Callithrix jacchus: one gene and its partners. The protein of the gene in region 6 interacts with the protein of the main gene of each other region in a biochemical or structural test. Links are inferred from orthologs where the notes say so. Each region holds a gene or a part of one and is shown on either strand. Other genes may lie near its edges. The genes, in order: PTEN, MAPK12, CRIPT, PBK, EVI5, DLG1 and ARHGEF16.

Evidence for each region.
Region 1: the proteins of DLG1 (region 6) and PTEN form a complex in vitro, tested with the Homo sapiens proteins (2 studies listed by BioGRID and IntAct, with this or other methods). The link is inferred for Callithrix jacchus from reciprocal best matches to the Homo sapiens genes DLG1 and PTEN.
Region 2: the proteins of DLG1 (region 6) and MAPK12 interact in a test that uses a peptide from one of them, tested with the Homo sapiens proteins (2 studies listed by IntAct, with this or other methods). The link is inferred for Callithrix jacchus from reciprocal best matches to the Homo sapiens genes DLG1 and MAPK12.
Region 3: the proteins of DLG1 (region 6) and CRIPT form a complex in vitro, tested with the Homo sapiens proteins (3 studies listed by BioGRID and IntAct, with this or other methods). The link is inferred for Callithrix jacchus from reciprocal best matches to the Homo sapiens genes DLG1 and CRIPT.
Region 4: the proteins of DLG1 (region 6) and PBK form a complex in vitro, tested with the Homo sapiens proteins (2 studies listed by BioGRID and IntAct, with this or other methods). The link is inferred for Callithrix jacchus from reciprocal best matches to the Homo sapiens genes DLG1 and PBK.
Region 5: the proteins of DLG1 (region 6) and EVI5 interact in a test that uses a peptide from one of them, tested with the Homo sapiens proteins (2 studies listed by IntAct, with this or other methods). The link is inferred for Callithrix jacchus from reciprocal best matches to the Homo sapiens genes DLG1 and EVI5.
Region 7: the proteins of DLG1 (region 6) and ARHGEF16 interact in a test that uses a peptide from one of them, tested with the Homo sapiens proteins (2 studies listed by IntAct, with this or other methods). The link is inferred for Callithrix jacchus from reciprocal best matches to the Homo sapiens genes DLG1 and ARHGEF16.

What each region holds. Positions count from the first base shown.
Region 1 is NC_133513.1:80,555,628-80,559,127, forward strand, and holds part of PTEN (phosphatidylinositol 3,4,5-trisphosphate 3-phosphatase and dual-specificity protein phosphatase PTEN), read left to right. Parts: intron 1-465; coding exon 466-690; intron 691-3,500. UniProt on the Homo sapiens protein: Dual-specificity protein phosphatase, dephosphorylating tyrosine-, serine- and threonine-phosphorylated proteins.
Region 2 is NC_133502.1:218,838,445-218,842,502, reverse strand, and holds the start of MAPK12 (mitogen-activated protein kinase 12), read left to right. Parts: upstream 1-1,258; 5' UTR 1,259-1,446; coding exon 1,447-1,571; intron 1,572-1,658; coding exon 1,659-1,788; intron 1,789-4,058. UniProt on the Homo sapiens protein: Serine/threonine kinase which acts as an essential component of the MAP kinase signal transduction pathway.
Region 3 is NC_133515.1:68,132,468-68,136,577, forward strand, and holds the start of CRIPT (cysteine-rich PDZ-binding protein), read right to left. Parts: upstream 2,801-4,110; 5' UTR 2,702-2,800; coding exon 2,686-2,701; intron 1,265-2,685; coding exon 1,199-1,264; intron 446-1,198; coding exon 391-445; intron 1-390. Other genes in the region: PIGF (GPI ethanolamine phosphate transferase, stabilizing subunit), read left to right, coding at 3,202-3,456. UniProt on the Homo sapiens protein: As a component of the minor spliceosome, involved in the splicing of U12-type introns in pre-mRNAs. Involved in the cytoskeletal anchoring of DLG4 in excitatory synapses.
Region 4 is NC_133514.1:13,889,492-13,892,991, reverse strand, and holds part of PBK (lymphokine-activated killer T-cell-originated protein kinase), read right to left. Parts: intron 3,281-3,500; coding exon 3,138-3,280; intron 2,572-3,137; coding exon 2,402-2,571; intron 1,187-2,401; coding exon 1,057-1,186; intron 1-1,056. UniProt on the Homo sapiens protein: Phosphorylates MAP kinase p38. Seems to be active only in mitosis. May also play a role in the activation of lymphoid cells.
Region 5 is NC_133508.1:130,484,138-130,488,081, forward strand, and holds the start of EVI5 (ecotropic viral integration site 5 protein homolog), read right to left. Parts: upstream 2,801-3,944; 5' UTR 2,785-2,800; coding exon 2,734-2,784; intron 1-2,733. UniProt on the Homo sapiens protein: Functions as a regulator of cell cycle progression by stabilizing the FBXO5 protein and promoting cyclin-A accumulation during interphase. May play a role in cytokinesis.
Region 6 is NC_133516.1:25,083,307-25,086,806, reverse strand, and holds part of DLG1 (disks large homolog 1), read right to left. Parts: intron 2,964-3,500; coding exon 2,922-2,963; intron 2,241-2,921; coding exon 2,205-2,240; intron 811-2,204; coding exon 760-810; intron 1-759. UniProt on the Homo sapiens protein: Essential multidomain scaffolding protein required for normal development. Recruits channels, receptors and signaling molecules to discrete plasma membrane domains in polarized cells.
Region 7 is NC_133508.1:41,343,099-41,346,598, reverse strand, and holds part of ARHGEF16 (rho guanine nucleotide exchange factor 16), read right to left. Parts: intron 2,224-3,500; coding exon 2,167-2,223; intron 1,680-2,166; coding exon 1,519-1,679; intron 1-1,518. UniProt on the Homo sapiens protein: Guanyl-nucleotide exchange factor of the RHOG GTPase stimulating the exchange of RHOG-associated GDP for GTP. May play a role in chemotactic cell migration by mediating the activation of RAC1 by EPHA2.

The DNA of each region.
Region 1 (3,500 bases), on a different chromosome or scaffold from region 6:
ACATGTATTTGCCGTGCATCATCAGGGAAGTTGCACTTACCTTCCAAGAACTTTTGTTAAGGTAAATCTTGGAATATTTAGCTCTTTTGAAATTCAGAAAAAATTAAATTCATATCTGAATTTTGTTTATATGTATGCACACATAAAACAAAACCATTTTTAAAGCTAGTATTAGATTAGAAAAGAGGTTTTTTGCTTAAAATTTTAAGACAAAAGTAATTTATCTTAGATTTTGCAAGATTATATTTTTGATTTAAAATTTGAGTGACAAAAAATCATGTAACAAAAATGCAACAGAAAACTCAGATTGCCATATAATAGTCTTAGTGTTTACCTTTTTTGAATATATCAAATGATAGTTTATTTTGTTGACTTGTTGGCAAATGTTTAATATGGGTAACATTTTTTTAAAGAGTAAAATATTAAAATAAATAATTTTCTTTCTCTTTTTTTTTTTTTTTTTAGGACAAAATGTTTCACTTTTGGGTAAATACATTCTTCATACCAGGACCAGAAGAAACCTCAGAAAAAGTAGAAAATGGAAGTCTATGTGATCAAGAAATTGATAGCATTTGCAGTATAGAACGTGCAGATAATGACAAGGAATATCTAGTACTTACTTTAACAAAAAATGATCTGGATAAAGCAAATAAAGACAAAGCCAACCGATACTTTTCTCCAAATTTTAAGGTCAGTTAATTAAACATTTTGTAGGGGTTGATGATTTGTGTATATGTGATATGTGTTTAATTCTAGGTGTACAGCTGATAAAGAACTTGCTTGACAAGTTCTTAAATTATGTATTATTTAGAAGCAGTGTTTATGTACCAGTAACATGAAAGTTTTTAATAAAATACCCGATGTACACAGAGTCAGAAAAGCTGCATTTTTCCTTTTCCCAATTCATTGTTGTTGTTTGGTGAAATCTGAAGCAAAGGTACAGGAGGGGGGTTAAATGACTGGGATATGAAGTAGGAATGGAAGAGGAAAGAAATGGATGGAAACTCAGTCATTTGGGAATGATTCATATGGAAGTTTTTACTGCTTCCACTCCTGTCTCCCTTCCAATTTATTCTCAACCCCTGAAAGTGGCCTTAAAAATAGGTTTAATTATGTCACTTCTGTTTTCACTTTATAAAGACCTTGGGTTTTTTGTTTTTTTTACCATGACCTACAAGGACCAGCATAATTTAGCACAGGCCTACCTCCTACATCAGCCCTAGTCACCTTCTCTCCTTGCTTCTTGAGATTCAGACATACTGGTCTCTCTTCAGTTCTGCAAAATGCTAACTTCTGCCTCTAATCTTTCCAGTTCTTTTCCTTCTCCCTGTACCTTTCTATCCCAGCCTTTTCCCTGTCCTTCACATAGCTGTCTTCATATTTCCAGCCTTAGCTTCAATCTCATATCTCTGATTGTCCTCCCCTGTTATGCTTCTTAAAAGATCCTATTTCCTTATTTTGTGTCTTAGAATTATTTGGTTTGTCTCATTTTTGTCTATATGTGATACGTATATTTGTACCTAGGTATATATATCTACTTATAGACAAGAATTCTTCAAATTGAAAAACTCTGATTTGTAAAACATTCCAAAATGGTTATTGGCCATTTTTTTCTTCTGCTTTCCTATTTCTTATTCTACCTGATTTCCCCCTGTCCATTCACCATACTCTTTTCTTTCTCTTTTTTACTCTCGCTCTTAATTTTTCACTCAGTTTTTATAATATGTAACAAATCTATAGCTTCTGAGTATTAAGAATATTGCTAGTAATATTTTGCCTATAATCCTAGCACTTTGTGAGGCTGAGGCGGGTGGATCACTTGAGGCCAAGAGTTTAAAAGGCCAGTATGGTGAAACCCTGTCTGTACTAAAAATACAAACCTTAGCTGGGTGTGTGTCCCACATCTGTAATCCCAGCTACTTGGGAGGCTGAGGCATGAGACTCGCTTAAGCCTGGGAGGCAGAGGTTGCAGCAAGCCGAGATCACGCTGGTGCACTTCAGCCTGGGTGACAGAGTGAGACTCTGTCTCCCCGCCAAAAAAAAAAAATTGCTAGTAATAGTAATACTTAAAAATCAGTAAAGGGGCCCCTACATGTTTTAAGTGAAAATAGATCTAATATTAAATGCCTTTAGCTCTTAAATTTAAGTGTTGAGAAGTTTCCCTTTTTAAAAAAATTTTAATATATAATAATTATACATATTTATGGGATACAGAGTGATATTTTCATGTATGCAGTGTGTGATGATCAAATCAGGGTAATTAGCATATGGATTACCTCAAACATTTGTTATTTTTTTGTGTTGGGAACATTCAAAATTCTATCTTCTAGCTATTTGAAAATAGACAATAAATTATTGTTGACTCGTTACAGTTCTGTAGAACACTATAATTTATTCCTCCTATCTGTAATTTTTAATCTTTTAACCAACATCTTCCTATCCTCCCCTCTCCCTCCCTTCCAAGCCTCTAATAACCACACTCCTATGAGCTCAACTTTTTGAGCTCCCATATGTGAGTGAGAACATGCAGTATTGATCTTTCTGTACCTGACTGATTTTACTTAACATCATTTCCTCCAGGAAAGACATTTTCTTTAAAATCTACAGGTTTCCTTTGTTTTCTCTAAATCTGCATTTTGCTTAACCATTAACCTTTAAACTATCTTTTCCTTCTAGTTTTATTGTTTTCTGTTTTAATATTGCAAGATTTTTATATTTGTGATTACAAATAAAAGCTCTGTTATTAGTAAACAAATACAATGTCATATTGTGGTAAGTGCTATAAAAATAGAGAGAATAATCTTGGTTTGTGTGTTTTTTGTTTTTTAGCTAGGATGATTAGAGAAGGCCCAACCAAGCACATAATATTTAAGCAGAGCCTAAATCATATGAGTGAGTTATGCAAATATCTGGGAAAAGAGGGAAGAGTAGAGATGCAAAAGCCTTTAGGCAAGGAGCTTGGTGTATTTGAAGAGTGGATAAGTCATTTTGACTAAAACAGAGTAGACAAGAAAACCAGTCCATGTGTAAAGATACTTGTGTGTGTTCAGCATAGGAAGGATATAATCTGAATTTTGCATTTAATACTCCCTGTGTTTATGCTTTCAAAATATAGATAAGTGAGGAAAGTAGGGAGAAGGGGTAATAATTAAAGCTGAGAGATAGTTGAGGCACTTGAATAGTTTAGTAAAGGTGAGAGATGATGTTTTCTTCTTGTTGCCCTTCACTGCTTAGAATAGTGGCAGTGAAAGGTAACAAGAAGCTGTCAGATTAACTAAAAGGGTTTACTGATGGAGTGGATGTTGGTTGTAAGAGAAGAATAATTGATAATGACTCTTGGATAATAGGGAGGGGCTGTCAATATAATACAATGAAGAAGGGATTTGAAGTCAGATCTGATTTACATCTCAAATCTACTACCTACTATTTATAGATATGTGGCCTTTAACAAGTTCCCTAACCTTTCTGGGCCTTAGCTACCTCTCCTTGAAAACGGAAAT
Region 2 (4,058 bases), on a different chromosome or scaffold from region 6:
ACAGCCCCACCTCAGATGCCTGGTCTGTGTGGGGCCTGCTGGACCCCTGAGCCCCACCATGAGGAGTGAGGGGGACAGCAGTGGAAGCAGGGCTTCCTGGAAGACGTGGATGGAGTGCCACAGGCAGCCCAGGGCACAAAGGTTGCAGGCCACAGCCAGTTGTGGTTTGGGTAGCCCCGGGCTACCCCGGCTCACTGGTCACCAGCTGGTGAATGCCGCAGACAGCCGGAAGCCCAGGTGTAAAGCTACTCCCACCCTTGAGCGGCTGAGCTGCTGATTCATGGCAGGAGGGCGGGCGGGGGGCCCTAGGGAACTTGTTACCCACCAACCCAGTGGGTTCCAGGGGTGCACCCCCCATCCTTCCTGAGACCCAGATCACTGGGCTGGGGAAGGGGTGTCAGGGTGGGGCTTTTCACTCTGAAGCATCTGGTCCAGGATGGAGCCAGACCGATGGGAGGATGATGCCCACACGGAGGGGACAGGCTGAGGGCCCAGCAGGTCCTCGTCCCTGTAGGAGAGAGTGCAGCCATGAGCTTTGCAGGACGGAACAGGCAGGGGTGGGACAGGCAGATGCACTGACACTTGCAATGCGTGGAACAAGCACCCCACAGAGGAGAGAAGGGGAGGAGCTGGGGGTGCAGGAGGGCCCACGGGGACCTATGGGACTGGGAGGCCCAGGGTCAGTGGCCACAGCAGTGGGGTTGGGCATGCAGCTTGAGGAGTCTGGGAGACAGGGACGCAGGCAGGACAGGTGCAGGTGGACCCCACGTGCGGGGACAATGGTCAGGCACAGCGGCAGGGTATCCTTGGGGGTGAACCTGGGAACACAGGGCTCAGCCCAGGGAACTCAGGGCAGGGGGACAGTGACTTGCAGCTGCAGACCCAAGTCGGTTCTCAGGCTGTCACGGATGGGCCTGGAACTGTGGGGAGTAAGGACTGGAGCCCGGCGGGGATCCTGCTGAGAACGCCCCTCCTCACCCCCCAAGGCAGGGAAGTTCAGCCAAAGGGCAGAGGCTGGCATGGGTATCTCCGCGCCGCGTCCAGCCCTAGGTCCGGACAAAGCTGCGGGGCGGCGCTCCCCTCCCCCTGCGCTTCCCCCCAGGCTCCGGCCCTCCCCCGGCGGCGGCCGCCTCGGGTTTCCGGAGGGGCCGGAGGGCGGGCGAGGGCGTCACGTGCGCGCGGCCCGCGGGCCGGTTGGTCCCCGGGCGGGGGAGGGGCCGTGCGCTGCCTGGGTCGGGGCTGGGGTCGGGCAGGGGTTGGCACCTGGGACATCCCTGCGGGAAGAGCCGGGAGCAGGAGCGCCCCAGCGGCGGGCGGGCGGGCGGGCGGACAAGCCGCGCGGAGCGGGCCCGGGGCGCGCGCCGAGGGAGCCCCGCCGATCCCGGGTTACCGGTCCTGGGGGAACCGCCCGCGGGCTCTGCGGAGTGGGCGGCTCCCGGGCCTGCCATGAGCTCTCCGCCGCCCGCCCGCAGTGGCTTTTACCGCCAGGAGGTGACCAAGACGGCCTGGGAGGTGCGCGTCGTGTACCGGGACCTGCAGCCCGTGGGCTCGGGCGCCTATGGCGCGGTGTGGTGAGCGCGGGCCGGGTGGGGCGGCCGGCGGGGCGGGCGGGGCCTGCGCGGGGTGCCCGGCCTTCCCGCTAAGCGTGTGCCCCGCAGCTCCGCGGTGGACAGCCGCACCAGCGCCAAGGTGGCCATCAAGAAGCTGTACCGGCCCTTCCAGTCCGAGCTGTTCGCCAAGCGCGCCTACCGGGAGCTGCGCCTGCTCAAGCACATGCGCCACGAGAACGTGAGTCGCGCGGCCCCGCTCCGGGAAGGCGCCGCACCACGGCTCGGCTCGGCTTCCCCACCCAGCGACGCCCCCTCAGCAGGCGGCTGCGGGGCGGGGCGGGGACCGGGCCGTGGATCCCCAGGGGAGGAGGAGAGCAGGGCTCAGCCCCCGTCTTCTCTGCCAGCCCCGGGAAGGACTCACCCCCTCAACTCCGCGCCTCAGCCAGGCCCTGGTCAGGGGACACGAGTTGGCCAGGCTCAGGGATTCTCCAGCTCTCATGCCAAACCCTGCCCCCAGCCAGGAAGCCCGTGGTGAGAGGACGCTCCCAGTGGGCCGATTTTCCTGGAAGGGGCACCTCCCCTCTTTCCCATCCGGACCCCTCTCCAGCTCCTCTGTGGAGCCCACTCTGTTGCGGTCCATTTCCCGAGTCTTCTGACCCAGCGGGGGGCGAGGGGGGCGCGTCCAGAACGTAGGGAGTGTTGGACCCTCAGGAGCCCCTGGGGGTGCAGGGTGTAGGGAGCTGGGGTTTGGGGGCCACTGGGTGCGGTGGCCATCACACAGACACCCTCCCGTTCCTTGGGTGGTGGTGGGGGCCCATCCTTTCCAGCCCTGCCCATGAGATGCACAGCTGCCCTGGGCCTCTCTCATGGCTGTGGCTGGCTGTTGAAAGCCCTACCTTTCTGCCAGGGGCGCTCCCGTTTCTGGACACAGTTCCACTTGTTCACTGCCCCCCACGTCACTCCTGCCCTGCCATTTGAGCTCCTGGACCCTAGCTTCAGGGTCACACGCTCTGGACCCTCCTGGGTCATCCAAGCCACCAGCGCCCTGGGAGAACGAGTCCCTGCGTCCACCAGCAGACTGCCCCCACCACTCCCTCAGCCCTTGAGTGGGTGCTTTTCTCTGAGGCTTCCCATGCCCACCCTGACCCCAGCTCACCCCCCTGGCCCTGTGAAGCCCCTTTGTGGTGGACAGCAGTACCGCCGCCATCTCACCACCTCCCAAGTCACACCCAGGCCTTGTCCCAGGAGTGTACCCGCCCCCACCCTTGGTTTTATCCAGCTCCTCCCCTGCAGCCCCCTGGCCCCACCCACCCACTCACCTGTCTGTTCCTTGCCCCTGTCCAGCCAAGAGCCCCGGGCTTTTCTTTTTTCTCTGGAGACTTGTTGCCCAGGCTTGAGTGCAATGGTGAAATCTTGGCTCATCGAAACATCTGCCTCCCTGGTTCAAGCAACTCTCCTGCCTCAGCCTCCCAAGTAGCTGGGACTACAGGCACGCGCCACCACACCCAGCGGGGGATTTTGTATTTTTAGTAGAGCTGGGGTTTCACCATGTTAGGCTGGTCTGGAACTTCCAACCTCAGGTGATCCGCCCACCTTGGCCTCCCAGAGTGCTGGGATGACAGATGTGAGCCACCACGCCCAGCCACCAGGGCTTTTCTGTAGTCACTGCTCGCTGTGCCTGTGGGTCCACCCCCTGGGCTCCTGGCCTGCAGCTTCGGCTCTTCCCCTGGAACGCCATCATCCTGGGAGACTAAGGGTTTGCAAGGCCATGTGCCTTGCTCAGCTGGGGAGGAGGCTCTGGCACAGGCCCCAGTCCTGACGTTTCCAGGCGGGCCCCCATACCACAGAGGCCAAATCCATCCATCTGATGGCCCCAAGCCCACAGGACCCTGTTCTCCGTCGTGGGCTAAACCACTCTCCCAGGCACCCTCCAGCTCTCATGACTGCAGTCCCGGCTGCTCCCAGGCCTCCCTAGACCTCGCCCCACCCACCGTTCCTTCTCTTTCCACACTCTTGCCCTCAGCTCTGGCCCACGTGGCTACAGTGGAGCTGTCCTTCCAGCTTGTGCCCATTCTTGCCTCACTCCGGCTGGTCCCTATACCACAGCCAGGACACATTTAGCATCACACCCCTGTTTAAATCCTTCCCTGTCTCTTGGGATCAAAGCCAAACCTTCACCTGGTGTGTGCTTCCTGCCGGCTCCCTCTGGCCTCTCCTCAGCCCCTCCCTGGCCTGGGCCTCGGCCACCTGGCCTCCCTCCCTTTGTTCCTCAAACTCTCCCAGTGTTTTCCCTCCTGCCTCGGCTACTCTGTGTGTGCCCTCTGCCAGTTTCCCTCTGTCCACACGTCCACCTGCTCCTCTGTCCTTGGCTATGCAAAACTCCAGGCCTCTCTGGGACCCTGGAGGCCCTGTCACCCCAAAATGCTGAGGTGGCAGTTATCTTATGACCTGTCCACTGTCCGTCTCCCCAACCAGGGGCGTTGTGGGGACCAGGTCTGACTGGTCACG
Region 3 (4,110 bases), on a different chromosome or scaffold from region 6:
AGGCTGATTAGGGAAACCTCTCCGAGAAAAGACCCTTCAGCTGAGACCCAAACACCAAGGAGCCAGATACGTAAGCTCTCAGTAAAGACCTCGAGGACACAGCAGCAAGGACAAATCTCTTTGGATGGGGGAGGCTTGGCAGAACCAATGAGGATGGCATATGATGAATGAGGAGGAGTATGGTACAATATGAAGTCAGAGGGGGACATACAGTAAGGAGGAATAAGGTAAAACCAGCAGGTTATAACAAATAGCTTGGTTCTGAGTGCCAGGAACCACCTAACTCTATGTTTTATTGCAATTGGAATGATGCACATCAAATTCACTCCAGTAGGCTTAACATTAAAAGAGTGAAAATTATATGACTTCTCTATGGATCCTCTTACCCACCTTGCTTTTTTTGAAGTCAAAGCTTTATTTTCATTCAGCTTTCTTCCACCACTTTCTGTATCAAAATAGAAGTTATTTTAAAGGGTTACTTCTATACATTTAACATATAACATTAAGAAGTTCATTCTCTGACTTTCTGCCAAACTAGTAGCCTATATCTAATTTTTAAATCTTCATTTAACAGTCAGGTTATTAAGACGCTGCTTAAAAAGAAAACATTTATTAGAGAAACAATAAAAATTTGTATAAAATACAATCATTTTATTTTTCAGACTCAAGGTAGTACCTTAGGAATGGGTCTATATTTACTTGATATACTGTAAAATCTAGAACCCACTACTTCAGTGTCATAGACCTTGAATGTCTATGTTTCTTTTCTTTCCCTTCGAAAACATACTTTATGTATTTAATGATAATGAAGGTAAATACTTCACTGTAAGTAATTAATGATAATGAAGGTAAAATGGGTTAAAGGATTTATTCAAGAATATAAAAACCAGATTTAAAAAAATTTCTCCTCAGAAGAGCGGAGAAATTAAATGCAGTCTCTAAATAAGCTGAATCAAATCAAATATTATGATACTGTCACCACTTGACAATCATTTAATAATTTTGCTATCTCCTGATGTTAGGAACCTGTACAAGTAACAGAACTAAGTAGAAGATATTAAATAACTTGGGGACCCAGGATTCTTTCATGTTTAATAGACAAAATACTTTGAACACATTTCATTTTACAAATAACGTAAAAGATAAAATATTCACAGGAGTCTCTGGTTAAATTCCTATTTTCTAAAAGAAGAAATACCTGTGGTATTCCTAGCACCATCTTTCCATGTATCTGGAGTGATAACAGTACCAAGTTTCTTTTCACCTGTTATAATAAGATAGTAAAAAGCAATTTAAAATTTAGTATTTCATAAGTGCATCACATTGTGCCTAAGGTTCACAATGGTATCAACAGTCCTATTACTGCAGGAGCCTGTTAATGCTGGGAGAGCAGTCAGTGAACTGAGACTTGTATTAACTGTGGGCAATGAATGACTGATCCACAGTAAAATCCGTAGGATAATAAGATGGCTTATAATAAGCTTTCTCTGTTTGTTTATACTTTAAACAAATCTGGCAAGTCTATTTGTTCCATACATATTTACTAAGCATCTATGATGTATAAACTATACAAATTACTGAAAAAAATAAGTGATGAATCAGACAAAATTTTAAAGAGATTATAGTACAGTAGTTTAACAGCAATCTTTAATCTATGTTCCACAGGTCGATCTTAAGAGATATGTGAACAAGGCAGAATTGTACACAAACCTTTTATATATCTTTTTTTTTTCTTTCCTGGCAAGAGTCTATAGCTTTCTTCAGATTCTCAGAGAGAACCTGAGAATCATTCAACCAAAATATAAGCTAAAAATTAAACGGTGTAATAATTGAGAGCTAAAGTACTAGGTGAAATTCCATGCAGGAAGATATAACCCTGGCTAAGGAAATCCAAGAAAGTTTGGGGAGAAGGCAAGAGAGAGGATTTGAATATGTGGCAATAGGACTGTGAACAAAAAGGAGTAAAGAGGATAAAGGCAGACTGATAAAGGACACATTCTGAGGAAAGGCATGGAAAGCTCCGAGTACACATGGGCACAAAGGGTAGTTACGTTTGGTCAAAGTGTGAAGAGGGTAAGGATCAGTGAAGATGAAGCTGGAAAAATAAGTTGGGGCCTTATTGCGGAGGGTCCTGAACGTCAGGCTCCAAATACAGAATCCCCACATTGTTCTCTGCACACTGAGAATTTATTAAAGGTGTTAAATTAGGGAAATAGTAACTTGCACTTGCGTTGATGTTCAATTCACACATCTTCTGGGCTTACTCTAAGCCATATTCTGGCATAATGACTAACAGGAATGAGTAAGACGAGGTCCTTGGTCTTTGGTTCTAGTGTGTTACATGAATAAAAAGGAAAGGTCAGGAATTGCAAGAGGGAAAGGTGTGATTGGGGTTTAACTGAACATTTTTATACGGGAGGGGAGCTGATGAGATCTGGAGCTGGGGGAAGGCAATGGAAATAGACAAGGAGATGCAGAACTAAGACCATTCTGAAAACAAAATATACTATAGGACTATATGGTCTTTGGGGAGGTGCAAAAATGGTCAAAGGGTAGAGCAGAAGGACAGCGACTAGAATCAAAGATGTGGGCGAAGAAAAAACAAAAGAGAAGGCAGAGTTCCCGGGAGAGTTCATTTAGGTTCCCCCAGTTTCTTCCTCCCGCAGGAGGAGCCCCTTAACTCACATTTTTCGCAGACCATCCTTCCCCACGACGGTTCCCCTAGCCGCAACAGCAGCAGCAGCAGCAGCAACAGCAGCCCGAAAACATCAAAACTAAAACCCGGACGGCTTCCCCTTCCGGGCTACGTCAACCCACTTCCGGCTTCTAAGCACGCCGCTCCGGTCTAGCCCAAACTTGGAAGGCCGCGGGAGGAATGAACGGGAGCGTCTAGGCGGGGCTGCCCCATCTGCCCGCCCCTCTCTTTCTGCTACTGGCTATGCGGCCCTGGATCTCCGCCCCTTAACCCTGCGCTTGCGGGTGGGCCTGGGTAGCACGTCGTACCTGATGGTAGGAGGCAGTAGTTCCCCGCTTCCCTTCCGCGGGTGGGAGAGTTAGGTAAGCCCCAATGTACGCCCCCGGCGATCTCGCCCCCCGGGGTGCAAGCCACCCCCGCGAACTGCCGTAGCAGCCGTGAGCCTTGGCGTCCCGGCCCGCCCGCTCTCGCCCTCAGCTCGAGCGCCACTCTTCCGGCGTGCTCTGATGGACAGACCCCCCCTTTCGGATCCGAGTTTCTGCCTCTGTCCCCCAGTTTTCCCTTGTCTCCAACTCCCGTGCTCTTTGATCCTGCCTCTCTGCTGGTTCCTGGCTGTCGACGCTCGCGCCGGCCTAGGCTCGGGCAGAATCCCGAGCGACCCAGGTTGGGGTGGGGCTGCCAGTGAAGGTGCGGCGATGCCCGCGAGGGCTCCTCTGGGGGCCGCTCGGAAGCGCCGTCTCTCTGCTGCGGTGCCTAGCGAGGTGGGCCAGGTCATACCCGTGGCACCCTTGTAGGTGTCCTGGGGGCACGCCAGGGCCTAACACGGTGTGGGTTTCCCAGGAGAGTTAGTTTCCCACTTTACATACTCTGGTTCCTTCATTCGTTCAGCAAACATTTGAGTTTGGTTCCTGCTTATTGTAGGAGCATCTCCTGTTGGCAGCTGCGATTCCGAGGGTGGCTCAGAAAAATGGATGAAGGGTTTGTTGTGAGGATGGATTCCTGATGATTGCCCTCCCTCAATCAGCTTAAGATAGAATCTATAGGAAACTTTCCCTTTGTCCCTTCTTGCCATCCGTTTCCTTCTCCATCCCTTTATTTCGTTGTACCAGAGAGAGGGCTGTAGCTCTTGAGAACTTGGACCTCCTTACCTGTTTGTCGTGTTTCCTTATCAGTAAAGTATCTGCCTTTGAAAAGCATTGGGTGAATTAAGTGAGAGCAATTTTTTAAATTGCATTTTAGGTTTTGGGGTACATGTGAAGAACATGCAAGATTGTTGCATAGGTACACACGTGGCAGTGTGATTTGCTGCCTTTCTCCCCTTCACCTATTATAAGGTCCAGGTGTTTTGAAACAAATACATTGCCCATAGGAAATTGACTTTATGACTTATTTGTAGGGGTTGAAACATTTTGGAC
Region 4 (3,500 bases), on a different chromosome or scaffold from region 6:
GCCAAAAATTAGTCAGAAGTGTTTTAAATTCCTAAAAAGTTGGGAGTTTTTGTTTTCTATTACAAATTTCTAGATTAACAGCACTGATGTTAAGGAATATCACTTATTAGACTTTATACTTTTTATAATCTGAAGTCTAAGAATATGGTCAATTTTAATACATACTATGGTGCTGAGAGAGTTGCCTTGCCATTTACTCACATCTTTAACATCCTTACATTTGTCTGTTTGATCTATTAAGGATTGAGAAAACTATACTTTAAAAACCCTCAGTTTTATTATGTTTGACAATTTATTCTTTTACTTCCTAAAGTTTCTACTTGGTCACAGTTATTTAGAACAACAGTTCTATTTTTATTAATGATTACAGACTTTTATTTATCAAGTCTGTAGCTTCATCCTGCCTCTTGCCTTCAACTTTTATTTCAGCTAGAAATTTAGGCATATATATGTTCTAAACAGCATCTATTAACCATTTGTTTAACTCAGGTTTATATAAAGAGACAAATTTAAGTATTATTTACTAAATAATACGTTGCAAGCAGAGGCTTTCTCTTGAGGCTCTTATTTCTCACCAAGAACAGATCTTAAATTCCCTGAGAAGCCAATGATCAGTATATACAGTAGAGAAGAATGAGCTGGGGTGGGCCAAGGGGCAAAGAGCTGAAGACCAGCCTTCATCAGCACCTCTCTTTCCTGCTTCAGTCTGGTTTCCTCTACCAGGTTCCTAAATGTTGTCGCTTTACTGATGCTGCTTTACAAACCTTTTACTTTCTATTCCCAGATGTTTTACTGCATAAATATCCCAATTCAGTTAGAAATCTTTCCCAAAGTTAACTCCAATTAAAATATACATTAATACTACTACCACTAATATAGTAATTTACAACGTACATGTAGCAAGGGAGAGGACTGCAGGCTTACTGGAAGAGAAAAAACAAGGGCTTTTTTACCATATACTTTAAAAAAAGTTTTTGATTTTTGATCCACGTGGACTTCTATATTTAAAAATGTAAACATTAAAAACAAAATTTTAAAACTTAGAGTACGACTTACCAGTCATATTTTCATCCAGTGGTAGAGAGACTCCTACATCACAGATTTTAATTGTTTCAAAATTGCCTTTAATTACAACATTTGAAGACTTTATGTCTCCATGAAGCAGTTTCTTCTCTTGGTGCAGATACTAAAATAGTAAGAAATTTAACACACATGAGCAGAAACATAAATAAAAAATGTAATAACCTCCAAATCAAAATAACAATTTGAACTCCCTAAAGTTTAAACTTGCATTTCGTTTGTTTTTTGTTTTTTGAGATGGAGTCTCACTGTTGCCCCGGCTAGAGTGCAATGGCACAATTTCGGCTCACTGCAACCTCTGCCTCCTGGGTTCAAGCTGTTTTCCTGCTTAAGCCTGCCTCCTAAGTAGCTGGAACAACAGGTGCATGCCACCACGCCTGGCTCATTTTTGTGTTTTTAGTAAAGACAAGCTTTCACCATGTTGACCAGGCTGGCCTCAAACTCCTGGCCTCAAGTGATCCACCTGCCTCAGCCTCGCAAAGTGCTGGGATTACAGGTGTGAGCCACTGTGCCTGGCCCAGCATTTCAAATTATTTGAAGCAAGAGAAGGGAACATCTCAGGTTATCTCAGTCTGCCACACTGACCAGAAGTCTAAAAGTTTCTTTAGGAATAGATATATATTTAAGCTAACTTTTTATACTTTATTTTTTTTCCAAGACAGAGTCTTGCTATTGTTGCCCATGCTGGAGTGCAATGGCACAATCTGGGCTCACAGCAACCTCCATCTGCCAGTTTCAAGCGATTCTCCTGCCTCAGCCTCCCAAGGAGCTGGGATTACAGGTGCCCATCACCATGCCCAGCTAATTTTTGTATTTTTAGTAGAGACGGGGTTTCGCCATGTTGGCCAGGATGGTCTCAATCGCTTGACCTCGTGATCTGCCCACCTTGGCCTCCCAAAGTGCTGGGATTACAGGCGCGAGCCATTGCGCCCAGCCCTTTTGTATGTTTCAATGTGTTTAGTCACAGTACTTACCACTGTGTTACAATTGCCTATAGTATTCAGTATAGTAACATTCTATACAGGTTTGCAGCATAGGAGAACTGGGCTATACCACATAGTCTAAGTGTGTAGTTGGCTCTACCATCTAAGTGTGTGTAAGTACACTATGATATCCACACGCACAGTGATGAAACTGCCAAATGACACATTGCTCAGAACATACTAAGCTACATACACATAAATGTAATTCGGAAGCAGAAATGTTAAGCCTATAGTTTTACATTAGCCCCTTTTTGGAATTGACTAGTAACAATATTCCACATTCAAAGATGTCCTGCAAAGTGATTATTTGCTCATTTAAAATATAATGACATAGTTACCTTTAACCCTCTTGCCATATTCAAAGCAACTTTTAAAATTATGGCTGCTGGAAAAGGATCTCGGCTGTCTTTATATCTTTCTTCTATTAAGTCATTTAGAGACTTTTCACCTCCATATTCCATAGCAAGACACAGACTGCCATCACTGGCTTCAGTAAAAGCACGATAACCTTAAAGAAAACATGACATTTCTTTGCTAATATACAGAAGAACAATAATATTTTTAAGTCCTTTATAGTAATGCGATTGAAAACATGGACCTGGGCTAACACTAACAAATATACAATGAAACGGCTACTACTTAGAAGACTAACTCAGTAGATCTCATTTAAAATGCCTTCAGTGTTTGCCAGTAGTACCACAAATTAAAATACTTTTGCTTTCCTTTGCTTCCCTAAATATAATGGTTTTGCCAGCCCTACTTGTATTAAAAATGAAATCCAGGAAAATTACCTAAATGGATTTAAATTATCTAAACAAAGATAAATTTTATATTCCTAAAATCTTCATAGAACTAGCAACATAATTATATCTATTCTCTTGAAGTTTAAATATATACTTATGCCTAAAAATTATATGCACAGTTTTATTTTAGGCTGATCACATTAATTTGATTCCCATTAAACATCCAGCCCCATCCTCTTCATTTCTATTAGTGAAACCAGTTAAGAGAGCATATAAGCTGTTTCTGAATAAACAATGATGTACCAGATACTGCCACCAAATTTAAACTTACCAACAATGTTTGGATGATGAAGGCTTTTCAAAATCTTAGCTTCATCAATTAGTCTCTTTTGATACACATTTCGATAATGATCATTACATATAGGATTAATCTTTTTTACAGCCCAAGGAGAATGAGACAAACCTCTTGGAGATCTAAGAAAATTAAAAAGGATAGAAAACAACAAAAGCCACAATACTTTTTTAAAATAATTAACAACTTCCAAATTTGGCAGGGGGGGAACTTGAAGGTAATTTGTTTTAAAAAATAGTATTTGACATATTTTGGACTATGAACACCTCCACTACATTTCCATTTCAATTGGGAGATCTAATATACTGAGAGAAGTCTTAGTATCTTCACAGTGGGGAGGAT
Region 5 (3,944 bases), on a different chromosome or scaffold from region 6:
GATTAAACCCTGAAACACCATGCTCTAAACTGCCAACGGTGTTTAAGTCAGCTCCATTGCTCACAGAAAGGAAATCAAAGGAGATCTTCCTCTGAAAGGCAAAAACAACCCAAGGTACAAAGGAGGACTCACCAGAGAAGTCAAACCCACTGGTGAGCAATATTCCTCCCTCACCCTGGGCACCTGGTATTTGGAGCTTTTTTAGAGAACCAGAGTATCTCAGGCACATTCTAGGATTGCAATGTCCAATACAGCAGCCACTAGAGACACTAGCCACATGTGACTATTTACATTTAAACTTAAATTAAGCCAGTCGTGGTGGTTCATGCCTGTAATCCCAGTACTTTGGGAGGCCAAGACAAGAGGATAACTTGAGGCTAAGAGTTTGAGGCCAGCCTGAGCAACATAGTCAGACCCTGTCTCTACAAAAATCAAAATAAAAACTCAGCCAGGTGTGGTGGCACAACTGTAGCTATTCTGGAGACTGAGGTGGGAGGGTCACCTGAGCCCAGGAGGTGGAGGTTCCAGTGAGTTGAGATCATGCCGCTGCACTCCAGCCTGTGTGCCGGAGTGAGGCCCTGTCTCAAAAATAAATAAACTTAAATTAAAAGTTCAGTTTCATAGTCATATTCACATACTTCAAGTGCTCAGTCATAGCACACGTGGCTAGTGGCTACTGTCTAACAGCACAGATATAGAACATTTCCATCCAACAGGAAGTCCTATTGGTAGCACTATTAAAGAAAAAGGAGACATAATACTCTATTTCAACACCTACTAATGTTCAAAACTTTTTTTTTTAAATGAAGGCTCACAGTAAAATAGTAACAGCCTATCTTACCAGGCTCATTACTTTCTAGTATACAAATCTGAAAGGTACTCAAATAAAAAGCTATGGCCACCATGCACTGGAGTTATAAGAATAGCTTTAACTTTGCAGGGCATGGTGGCATGCACCTGTAGTCCCAGCTACTAGGGAGGCTGAGATGGGAAGATCACTTGAGCCCAGGAGGCAGAGGTTGCAGTGAGCCAAGATCATGCCATTGCACTGCAGCCTAGGCAACAGAGCAAGATCTTGTCTCAAAAAAAAAGAAAAAAAACCTTCAATTTCACCACTTTACCTCCACCATATTCATTCTTTAGAAGACCCTGACATCATCTTAGGAAATAACACTGTTAAGAGACACACAATTCTGTTAATCTCTTGCTTTTATATCTTTTTTTCTTTTTTTTAAAGATGGGGTTTCACCATGATGGCCAGGCTGGTCTTGAACTCCCGACCTCAGGTGATCCACCCACCTTGGCCTCCCAAAGTGCTAGGATTATAGGCGTGAGCCACTGCGCCCAGCCAATCTCTTGATACTTGTGCACAGGTAGAGACTAGATCTGCCATGATTGTGGGAAAGAACAAGCTCTCTGGCTCTCGAGCTCAGACATCATTTCTATATGTGATACTACACATTAACACTGTCAGCCCAAAAAATTTCTGAAATTGCGCCACCAGAATGGGACATCCATAGTGTGCTAATTTCTACCCTACCCACCAAAAGAAGTTCATTCATTGCTTGACTTTCCAAAATACTTGTTTTAAAGCAAGATAAAATCTGGTGGAACTAGAGTTAGTATTCCACTTAAACTGTCCAATTATCTGGGAGCTAGTAACTTCTACATTGATGCAAGTGACTAGCCTGTGACCTAAAATTTTAAGTGTTCTTGCCAAAAATGTGATCAACCCTTTTGCGTTCTTTGAACTCCAATCTTCTCATCCATAAACTGGAGATAATAATATCTACTTAAGCACTGAAGTGACAGTTAGGTAGAATAATATATACCATGCATGTAAGAAGTATTCAAAAATAGTAGCTATTGCAATTGCTATTTTCAAAAGCCACAAAGCACCAATGTGCAAAAATAAAAAGACAGATAAATAATAAAGAATGAATTAGAAGAATCCTGACTTTGACACCTGCTAATTGTCTGGCTTTTAACCTCTGAAGCTTCAGTCTCTTCATCAAGCAAATAAGAATGAGAGTCCCAATCATAGATGCGACATGAGATGTGTTTTTATTTCTTGTAAAATGGTCTAATTAAAGCCAGGTACAAACATTAGCTAACGTTAATTAGCAGTCTTCCCCCACAACCACCAAAAAAAAAAAAACAAGGAAACTATATTAGGAACATGATACCTTACAGAAAAATTAATGTAGCCTTTATTATGAACTGTGTTCCCAAACATGACGGGAGGCAACACTTCTGAAACCGTCGTTGAAAGGCCATGCAACCATCAACATTGCCACCAAATAGAGTTTGTGAACAAATGCTATGGTAACCAGTCATTTTCTTTTTCTCCATATGAGAAATTTGAAGCCCATACAGACACACTAGTTCTCCTCTGTGAATGTGTATTCAAAGAAACATAAACAGCAGCCAATTACAGCAAGGAGAGAATTGTGGCAAGTGTTGAATTACAAAAAAACAGTTACTAAAATACCTTTCTTGCAGGTGTGGAATTAAACCTAACATTTCATAAATTTTGTTCATCACTCAAATGGCCGCAATACAATAAGATAACATTCTTAAAATAAAACTGAAGAAATGTTAACAAGCTGTTCCTGTGTTTTGAAGATTAAGTGAAATATACAAATCCTAGCTGAATAACAAAATACTTTCTATTACAGCAATTACATTTTTGTAAGTTTTAATATAAAATCAAACATTGTTTTACACATTTACCTGTTTTCCACTAGGGTTTCTAAAGGCAGCAGTCATTTTGGTGGTAACCATGATAAGCAGAGAAGACAGGGAGGCTGGGGATTTGAATTGCATTTATAGCTGACTCATAGGGAGTGTTAACGACATTGCCACTGGGATCCACCCATTTAACACCCTTTCAGTTCCACCTTATACATTTGTTAGGTAGTAGGGAGCTGGGAATGTGGAGGACTAAGAATGCTGAAAACAAAGCTTTTTGGTCTTATGCATACTAATTGATTTTGGTTTCTCATTCCTTCTTCCCTTCTTTTCTCCGCCCCCCCCCGTCTCCCTCCCTCCCTTCTTCCTTCCTTCCTTCCATCTTCTTCTTTCCTTCCATGACTTGATTTATCTCAGAATGACATTATAATTGTTATTGTATTTGAGTGTCGATGCTGAGGCATTGGCCAGAAACTTCTATAATTAGGCGTTTTCTGGCACTAGACAAAATTATTAATTTGGTAGAAATTTCTTCTTTGGATTTTTTTTTTTCACTCCTGACCTGAGGTTTTGGTATTCTGCAGGCTATCGTGTTCTATTAATGAATGTTACAGCTCTGTTACTCAGGGGCCATTGAGAGTTTACTATGCAATATAGCAGCAAATAATATACCTTGTGAGAGGTACCTAAATAAAGCCACTTCTTCAGTACTTTTCTAGATCTGATATATTAGTTTTAAAGAATTACCTCTCTCATGATAGCTTGAATTTTGTTTTGTTTTTTAAAGATAGGGTTTCACTATGTTTCCCAGGCTGGACTTGAGCTCCTGGGCTCCAGTGATCCTCCTGCCTCAGCCGCCTAAGTGGCTGGGATTATAGGTGCACACCCCTACGTTGGTGATGGCTTGTGCTTTTAAAGCACTTACCATAGCTGCATACTGTGGAAGCACTTTTCATCTATCATTTCACTTAATCTTCATCATTTGGCTGGAAATGTGTTTTTAGATTCTCCACAGAAAGGGTTTCCAAACAATAATCCTATTGTTATCCCCATTTGCAAGTGAATCTCCAAGCCAGTCACTAAGAATGCTTCATTTATTTACTCCTTCATTTATTGACAAATATATTAAAGATATTCAACTGTGTCAGATACTTTCCTAAGAGGAATGACAGTAACGTTTTCAGCTCCTACAACGTGGCAGAAATAATGTTATGTAATGTTATGTGCTTCCACATGAGGCAACTATTATTTGG
Region 6 (3,500 bases):
AAGAATTTTTTTCTTCCTCCTCCATCTTCCTTTTCCGTCAACCAAAGATGCCTAATTTGCTGTTTTATAATCTTGACTAAGATCTTAAAGTTTACTCAGTCTCCTGCTAGAAGTCATACACTTGATAATTCAAAGTTAAATTTGGTAGTTTAGCAGATTATGTTTATTTACATTGCAAATGACAGAATAACATATAGTGTTTTACAGACAGTTTTGAAGTAGAAATTGTAAGGAAGCAGAGCAAAGAAGGGCAGAAGAGAAATTAGATGTAGGAAGTGATATAATCACAGTAGTGTTTTAGAAAGATGATCTAAAGAAGTGTAAACTCTAGGTTGCATAAGATCGTGCTGGAAGAATGGAGATGGGGAGTGAGGCCGAGAACTAACATTGTGGTAGAAGGGACGAAGAGCAGGTCATAAATAAGAAAGAAGTACAATAGTGCCTGGAACCTGATTAGCTGAGGAGCATGAGGAACAGAGAAGGGTCAAAGATGCTCCCAAGATTTTCAAAAAAGGGTTATTTGGAAGATAGCGATGTTAACAAGAACACTTGAAAAAAATTGCTTAGGAAATAAAACACAAATATAAAAGTCAATATGAAATGACTAGATTCTAATATACTATGGAATAAACTATGTTTCATAAAATACATGTAGTAAATTTCTACATATAACATTTTTGGGGGGTATTAGACTTTTTTCCCCCAAATTAAAAATATATTATTCTAGAAGATTATAAAATATGAATAGGCTTCACAAACCTTCTTGCTGATTCACTGGTTCATAAGATAAGACGTACTCTTCTTGACCACCTATTAGAAAGTGAAGGCACAGATGAAAAATACATAAAGATAACTGATGCTAGTCTAATTCTTCATAAACAACATATACATTACTATAACTTTCCTAAGAAAATGGCAAAGATATGGAAAGAGGTACTTTGTGGCAAGATTTAGTAAAAAAAAATAAATAAAAGTGGCAAATCATAAAGTCATAAAAGTGAGTTTGCTAAATGTAAAACAAAATATAAATGAGCTTTTAAATCAATAAATAATCATCAAATCTAAAATCTTCATTTGTGATACTACGTGCTACTTCTTTATTTAGAATTTAAGAATTATTAACTCTGTTAAAGATTAATGCTTTAATGAACAGTTCTATCTATATATATATATATACATCTTAGGTAATTGTTACTATTAAAAATATGCTACTTTTTTCACCAACTATAATACTGAAAACAGTATATTTAAAAAAATTACAACTACCTTAAAATTTAAAATTATAAACACAAAGGTAAAACTATTGTCACTATTTCACTGATGAAAAAATTCACAAATTAAACTTTGTAAAAAATAAGAAATTTAATGTGAATCAAAAAGAGCTTTAGACAAAACTAAATCCTTCCAATAAAAAAACCACATGATAGTAAAGGAGATAAATATATTCTGCTTTGAACTTAAAAGCATACAAGAAGTTAAAGCTTCCAAATTAAAGATTTAGAGCTTAGGATATATTCTAAATTAAAGAGTCTACAAATTATATCTGAATCCAATGAAAATAACTACAAAATTAAAAACTCTAGCAGTTTTTAACTAATACATATCCCCCTTGCCCCCACACCCAAAATTAGAAAAGACTGTGTTAACCCAAGTGGTTCAATGAAAACAATCAATACTGGATAATGTATTTGAAGACTTTTTCTTTAATTATCAAGATCCTATATTAATTTTACCATGAATTTTGCAATTGTTTTATATTATATGTATGTAGCTGCAGTCTTTTAAATCCATATATTGACATAAACATTCTTTTCTGCTTTAAGTGTGTATTTCTTTGTTTTTAATTTTATTATCGAAGTATATAAAACCAATATAAACTTTTTTAAATTATTGGATGTAAAACATGGCTTACATACTAGCAAACACATGCAATTGGAATATTCCACTCCTTAATAATTCATGCAAATGGTGAGACAGACAGTATATACTTTCATTACCTCTTTTTAGCCTAGAAAGCCACTCCACTACTCTATAGTGGATTCTGGTTATAAGCAATAAAATGCTGAAATACAAGAAATCATTTCCACACCAAAAAAAAATTAAGTAACTATTATGTAGAAAAATAATCAACCAAATGAGTGATGGTTAAAAGTATATACTGTCAACATGAAAAAGTATTAGGGACTGATATTAACAGGATGGACCTTTTGGGCAGCCGTACTCATCTGTAATCAAGATTACTTTCATTTTAGACAGCAGTAAAAAAAAAAAAAGTTAGAAAAGCAATTTTAATTTTTAAGGTGCTACAAATGATAACATTATATACTTTCCCCTTCTCCCACACCCAAATCTGTTTAAAAACATCACATGCTTGTGTAGTTCACTTAATAAAACCAAGAATGTAATATAAAACATCAAAAGAGAAATTAGCATTATTTTCTGAGCAATCATTGAAAATGTTTCCTTCCTTATTTCTTCTGTTCACCAAGTGCTGGTGATAAACAATGACTTGATCCAGAACAGTATTGGTAAAATAATGAAAACAGAAATAAAGCTAATTATAATTTAGCATTACTGAAAAATATTATTTTAGCACTCATGTTAAAAACAGAATTCAACAAAATGTCAAAATATAAGTTTTCCCCCATATAAGTATTTACTTTTTATAAAAAATATATATACACACATATATGTACTATGTACACAAATAATACTATTTTTAGTATTTTATTAAAATTTTATAAATTAACCTCTACATATTATGATTTTTTTCAAGCACAAAATTTTACTTGGCTCTTCCTGATTTTAATATCAATCATATTAACTTTAGGGTTTTAGAACATATTACTAAGAATCCCTCCACCCCTGCTGAGGATTTACTACTTGAAATTATAAAAGAACAAGTAACTTAAGACACTTACGGTAACTACTTTCACTATCGCTGGCATTAGAAGTTACATGCTCTGAAATTGCAGGACAATGGAAGACAAATAAAGAAAACACAGTGTCATGAGTTTAAAAAGCTGATAAAAGCAAATAATCAAAATAAAAGAGGGTGACATAAAATGTTGAGGTATAAGCCATATATAACAAAATAATTTTTTAATTTAAAAGCATTTTTTCTTTTCTTTGAAAGGTTTAATTTTTTCAAATAAATATGTATTAGCAAGGGAAAACACCTGTAATTAAGGACAGTGCCTTATTTTTGTACAACACAGTTTATGAACAAGTCTCTACTATAAATAGCGAGTAGAATATAACAAAGGCAAAATGATCCTGAATTAGTCTAAATGTAGATATACAACTCAAAGGGAAAATATTGTTGGCACTATCTAATTCAGTCTTTGAAACAGCAGTAACTAGCAAAGGGGACAAACTATATTTAAGGAAATAGATCCTCATTTTAATGAAGGGAGGTCTTTGTAATTAAAAATAAATAGACGATGTTATTTATAGTCCAGCTCCACTCCTGTTTCTGAAAATGAAAGTCAATTTTTCTG
Region 7 (3,500 bases), on a different chromosome or scaffold from region 6:
AGCTCTACAGAAAGCCCCTGCCTCCAGGAATAAGGTGGCTCCCAGTCCACCCTCAGGGTCCCCAAATTCCGCAAGGGCACCCCACAGGGAGTAGATGGGTGGGACTTGCCAGGGGTGGGGCTGATATAAGAATGAGCCAGCAGCCACCACTGTTGGGGCCACCCCGTACCAGGCACTACAGGTCCCTAATCATCTTGCAGCATCGCCCAAGCCCATGAAGTGGCCAGAGGCGCTGCCCCTCAGGTTAACATTGAGGCCAAGGCTCAGAGGACTAAATGATGCCCCAGGGTCCTCCTGAATCTAGGGGCAGCACATGGAGACCACACACACCCCTGCCCACACACACACCTACGTAATACACCACTACAAAAAACACCCCTGCCACACACCTGTCCATGCACACACACACGCCTATACATCCATGCACACACTCCTCTGCCCATGCACACCCACACACACACCCATGCACACACAGCTGCCCACGCACACCTATAAACATACACCCCGTCCATGCACGCACACACACCCAGGCACACACCCATGCCAACGCATACCCATGCATACACACCTTTGCACACACCCCTGCTCAGGCACACACACCATGCACATGCATCTCTATCCATCCATACACACCCATGCACACACACCAGGGTGCCAAATGCTCCCAAGCCACTCTCCAGGCACACACACCAATGCACCCATGCACATCCGTGGACACACCCCTGCCCAGGCATACACACCTGTGCACCCATGCACACACACCTGTGGACCCACCCCTGCCCAGCACACACCCGTGTACCCATGCACATGCCCCAGCCCAGGCACACATACCTGTACACACATGCACACCCATGCACACACACCCATGGACACACCCCTGCCCAGGCACACACCCGTGCACACACACCCGTGGACACACCGCTGCCCAGGCACACACCTGTGCACACATGCACACCCATGCACACACACCTGTGGACACACCCTGCCCAGGCACACACATGCACACCCATGCACGCACACCTGTGGACACACACCCATGCTGGCCTGTAGCTGCATCAGCTGCATTTCCAGACTCTTCCAGCTCCAGGCCCTGCAACCAGAGCCCAGGTCCAGCCACCAGACACCTTTGGGTGGAACATGACCCAGGGCTGCAACTTGAAACTTCCTGCCTACGGGTGAGCAGCTGTGAGCACCACTGCCTGGGTCATGCAGCCCTCTGTGCCTGGGTGTCCTGGTGAATGGCACTTGGCAGTGTGGCAGGGCTGTAGCCCTGAGAAGTGCTCCACATCTTACGAGCAACCAGGACGCCATAGCCCAGCACTTGGCCTGGCCCTGGGTCCAGCTCTCCATGGCCTCAAGGACCATCAGAGTTTGTCACGCTCCGTGGCAGCTGCCCCAAACTGTCCCATCAGGTGAAGCCCAGGCTCCCCAGGTCCTGCTGATGCTGCTGTGGTGCCCAGGATGGGGGGCGCCTTCTTGACAGAGGCACCTGTGTGGAAGGCTGTGGTGAGGCCTTACCTCTGGCTGGCACTCAACACGTCCAGGATGTTGGAGAAGAGATGGTGATGCTCCATCTGGGTCATGGTCGCCCGCAGCTCCTGGGATTGCAGGAACTCTGTCACCAGGATACTCAGGCTGTGCTGGTAGGAGAACTCGGACGTGAGGATCTCAAACATGGCCTGCGGAAAGGGGCCTGGGTGAGCCCCACAGTGACACTGGATGCGGGCGTGCCTCAGGGACTGATGCTCAGAGGATGTGGCCCAGGTGGCAGGGGCAGGTGGGGACAGGAGCTTCAGACAGACCCCTGGATGGGCCTGTCAGGACAGCCAGCCTGGGGATGCCAGGTTGACCTCCCTGCATGCCCCTGGCTGGGTGCCTTATGAGCTGCATGAAGCTGGGCAATGAACCCCGTCCACGTTGGAAAAGAGGGTGATGGCAGCGGCTGGACTCTGAGGATTCACCCGGTGACACAAAGGGGCTCCATCAGGGCACAGCATGGGTAGAGGCACAGCCAGGCCTGTTCGAGGCATTGGTCATCAGGACAGGGGCCTGGCGCTGGAGGTGGCCACAGAGGGAAGGCTGGCAGTACCACCTGGCTGCTACCCCTCCCCGGGTATGGTGTGGCCCAGGCCATGGTGGGGTGGCCCTCCCGCCCAGGGCCCTCACCTCCTGCCTCTTGCGCTCCTCGGTGGAGAGCTGCTCCAGGATGCCTGACTCCATCACCTGGGGGGACACAGGCCCAGGAGCTCCAGGTCACATGTCCTGGAAGCCCGTGCTAAAGTCTCTCTTCTGTCCTCCTCCTGATGGACCTCCTGATAGACAGCTGAGGCAGGGGCTTGGGCAGACACCCACAGCCACCCCGCTGGGCTTGGTGAAGTCTGACCCTGGAGCCAACCTGTCCCTGCCACCTTCCTCTCTGTGGAGTCCTCCTAGGGGATGCTGATGAGCAGGCCCAACCCCTCCAAAGAGCCCCAGAGCAGCCCAGAAAAGAACATGGGGCATCCAGAGGGAAAGGCCAGAGGGCAGGAGGGGCTCTCATCCCAAAGACCTTCCCAACAGATGGAGAGATGCAGGGCCCACCCAGCGAGGGAATGTGGAGGGCAGGACTGACCCAGACCCCACCTGGGCGAGGTGTCAGTGAAGGTATGGGTGATGCTGTGCCCACCCGGCTCCCTTCTCCTCAGGGGCCACAGCTGGTGGGTCACCTTGGCAGGAGCGTGGTTCCCTTGGCAGAGTGCGTCAGGTACAGCGGGCTGTCACACTGCCCGGCGTCCCCTCTGCAGGACCCGGGTCACCCTGCTTTGTGCTCTGTTCCTCACTGGGCTGGGCAGAAAGGCTGCCAACAGCACCTTGTCCAAGAGCGAGTCCCTGTCCCCCAAGCCAGTGCCTCCTTCCCATGAGGGGCCGGAATCTCTGCAGTTACCAGGGTGCAGTGCTGAACCCCACCCCAGACAGGAGGAGACCACACATGCCCAGCTCCAAAGTGGAGTAAACCTGCACTTCCAGACCCTTCTGTCTGTGAGGGGGCTGCTCTTTGCCTGTCCTCACCCCACGCTGGGTCTGCCCTGGCCAGGGTCCTGGGGCACGAAGTGCCATGGAACATGGTGGGCGGTTACAGTGCCAGCCCCTCCAGATGAAGAACAAGGAGCCCCGTTGTACTGCAGGTGGGAGCCTGCCCTCCCTGATGCCCGCCACGCCCACGGCCACACATGGTACCCTCCCTAGGCCCTCAAGCAGGGGTCATGTGCGGTCCACCTGGGGCAGGAGCAGCCACCCCCACAAGCACGAGGACTGCTCTGGGCCATGCTCTCCACTGAGACCCCACAGGGTGGGGACAAGCCCCCATTTTCCGATGTGAAAAGCGAAGGGGTGGCTTGGCCCTGGTGCCAGCTCTAAGCCCCAGCCACTCCCATCCCGGCTGCCTCCTCCAGCAGATCCTCTAGCCCTTTCCTGGGAAGAAACTCCTGGTGCCTGCAGCTCCCTGAGGGGAGTCTGAGCAG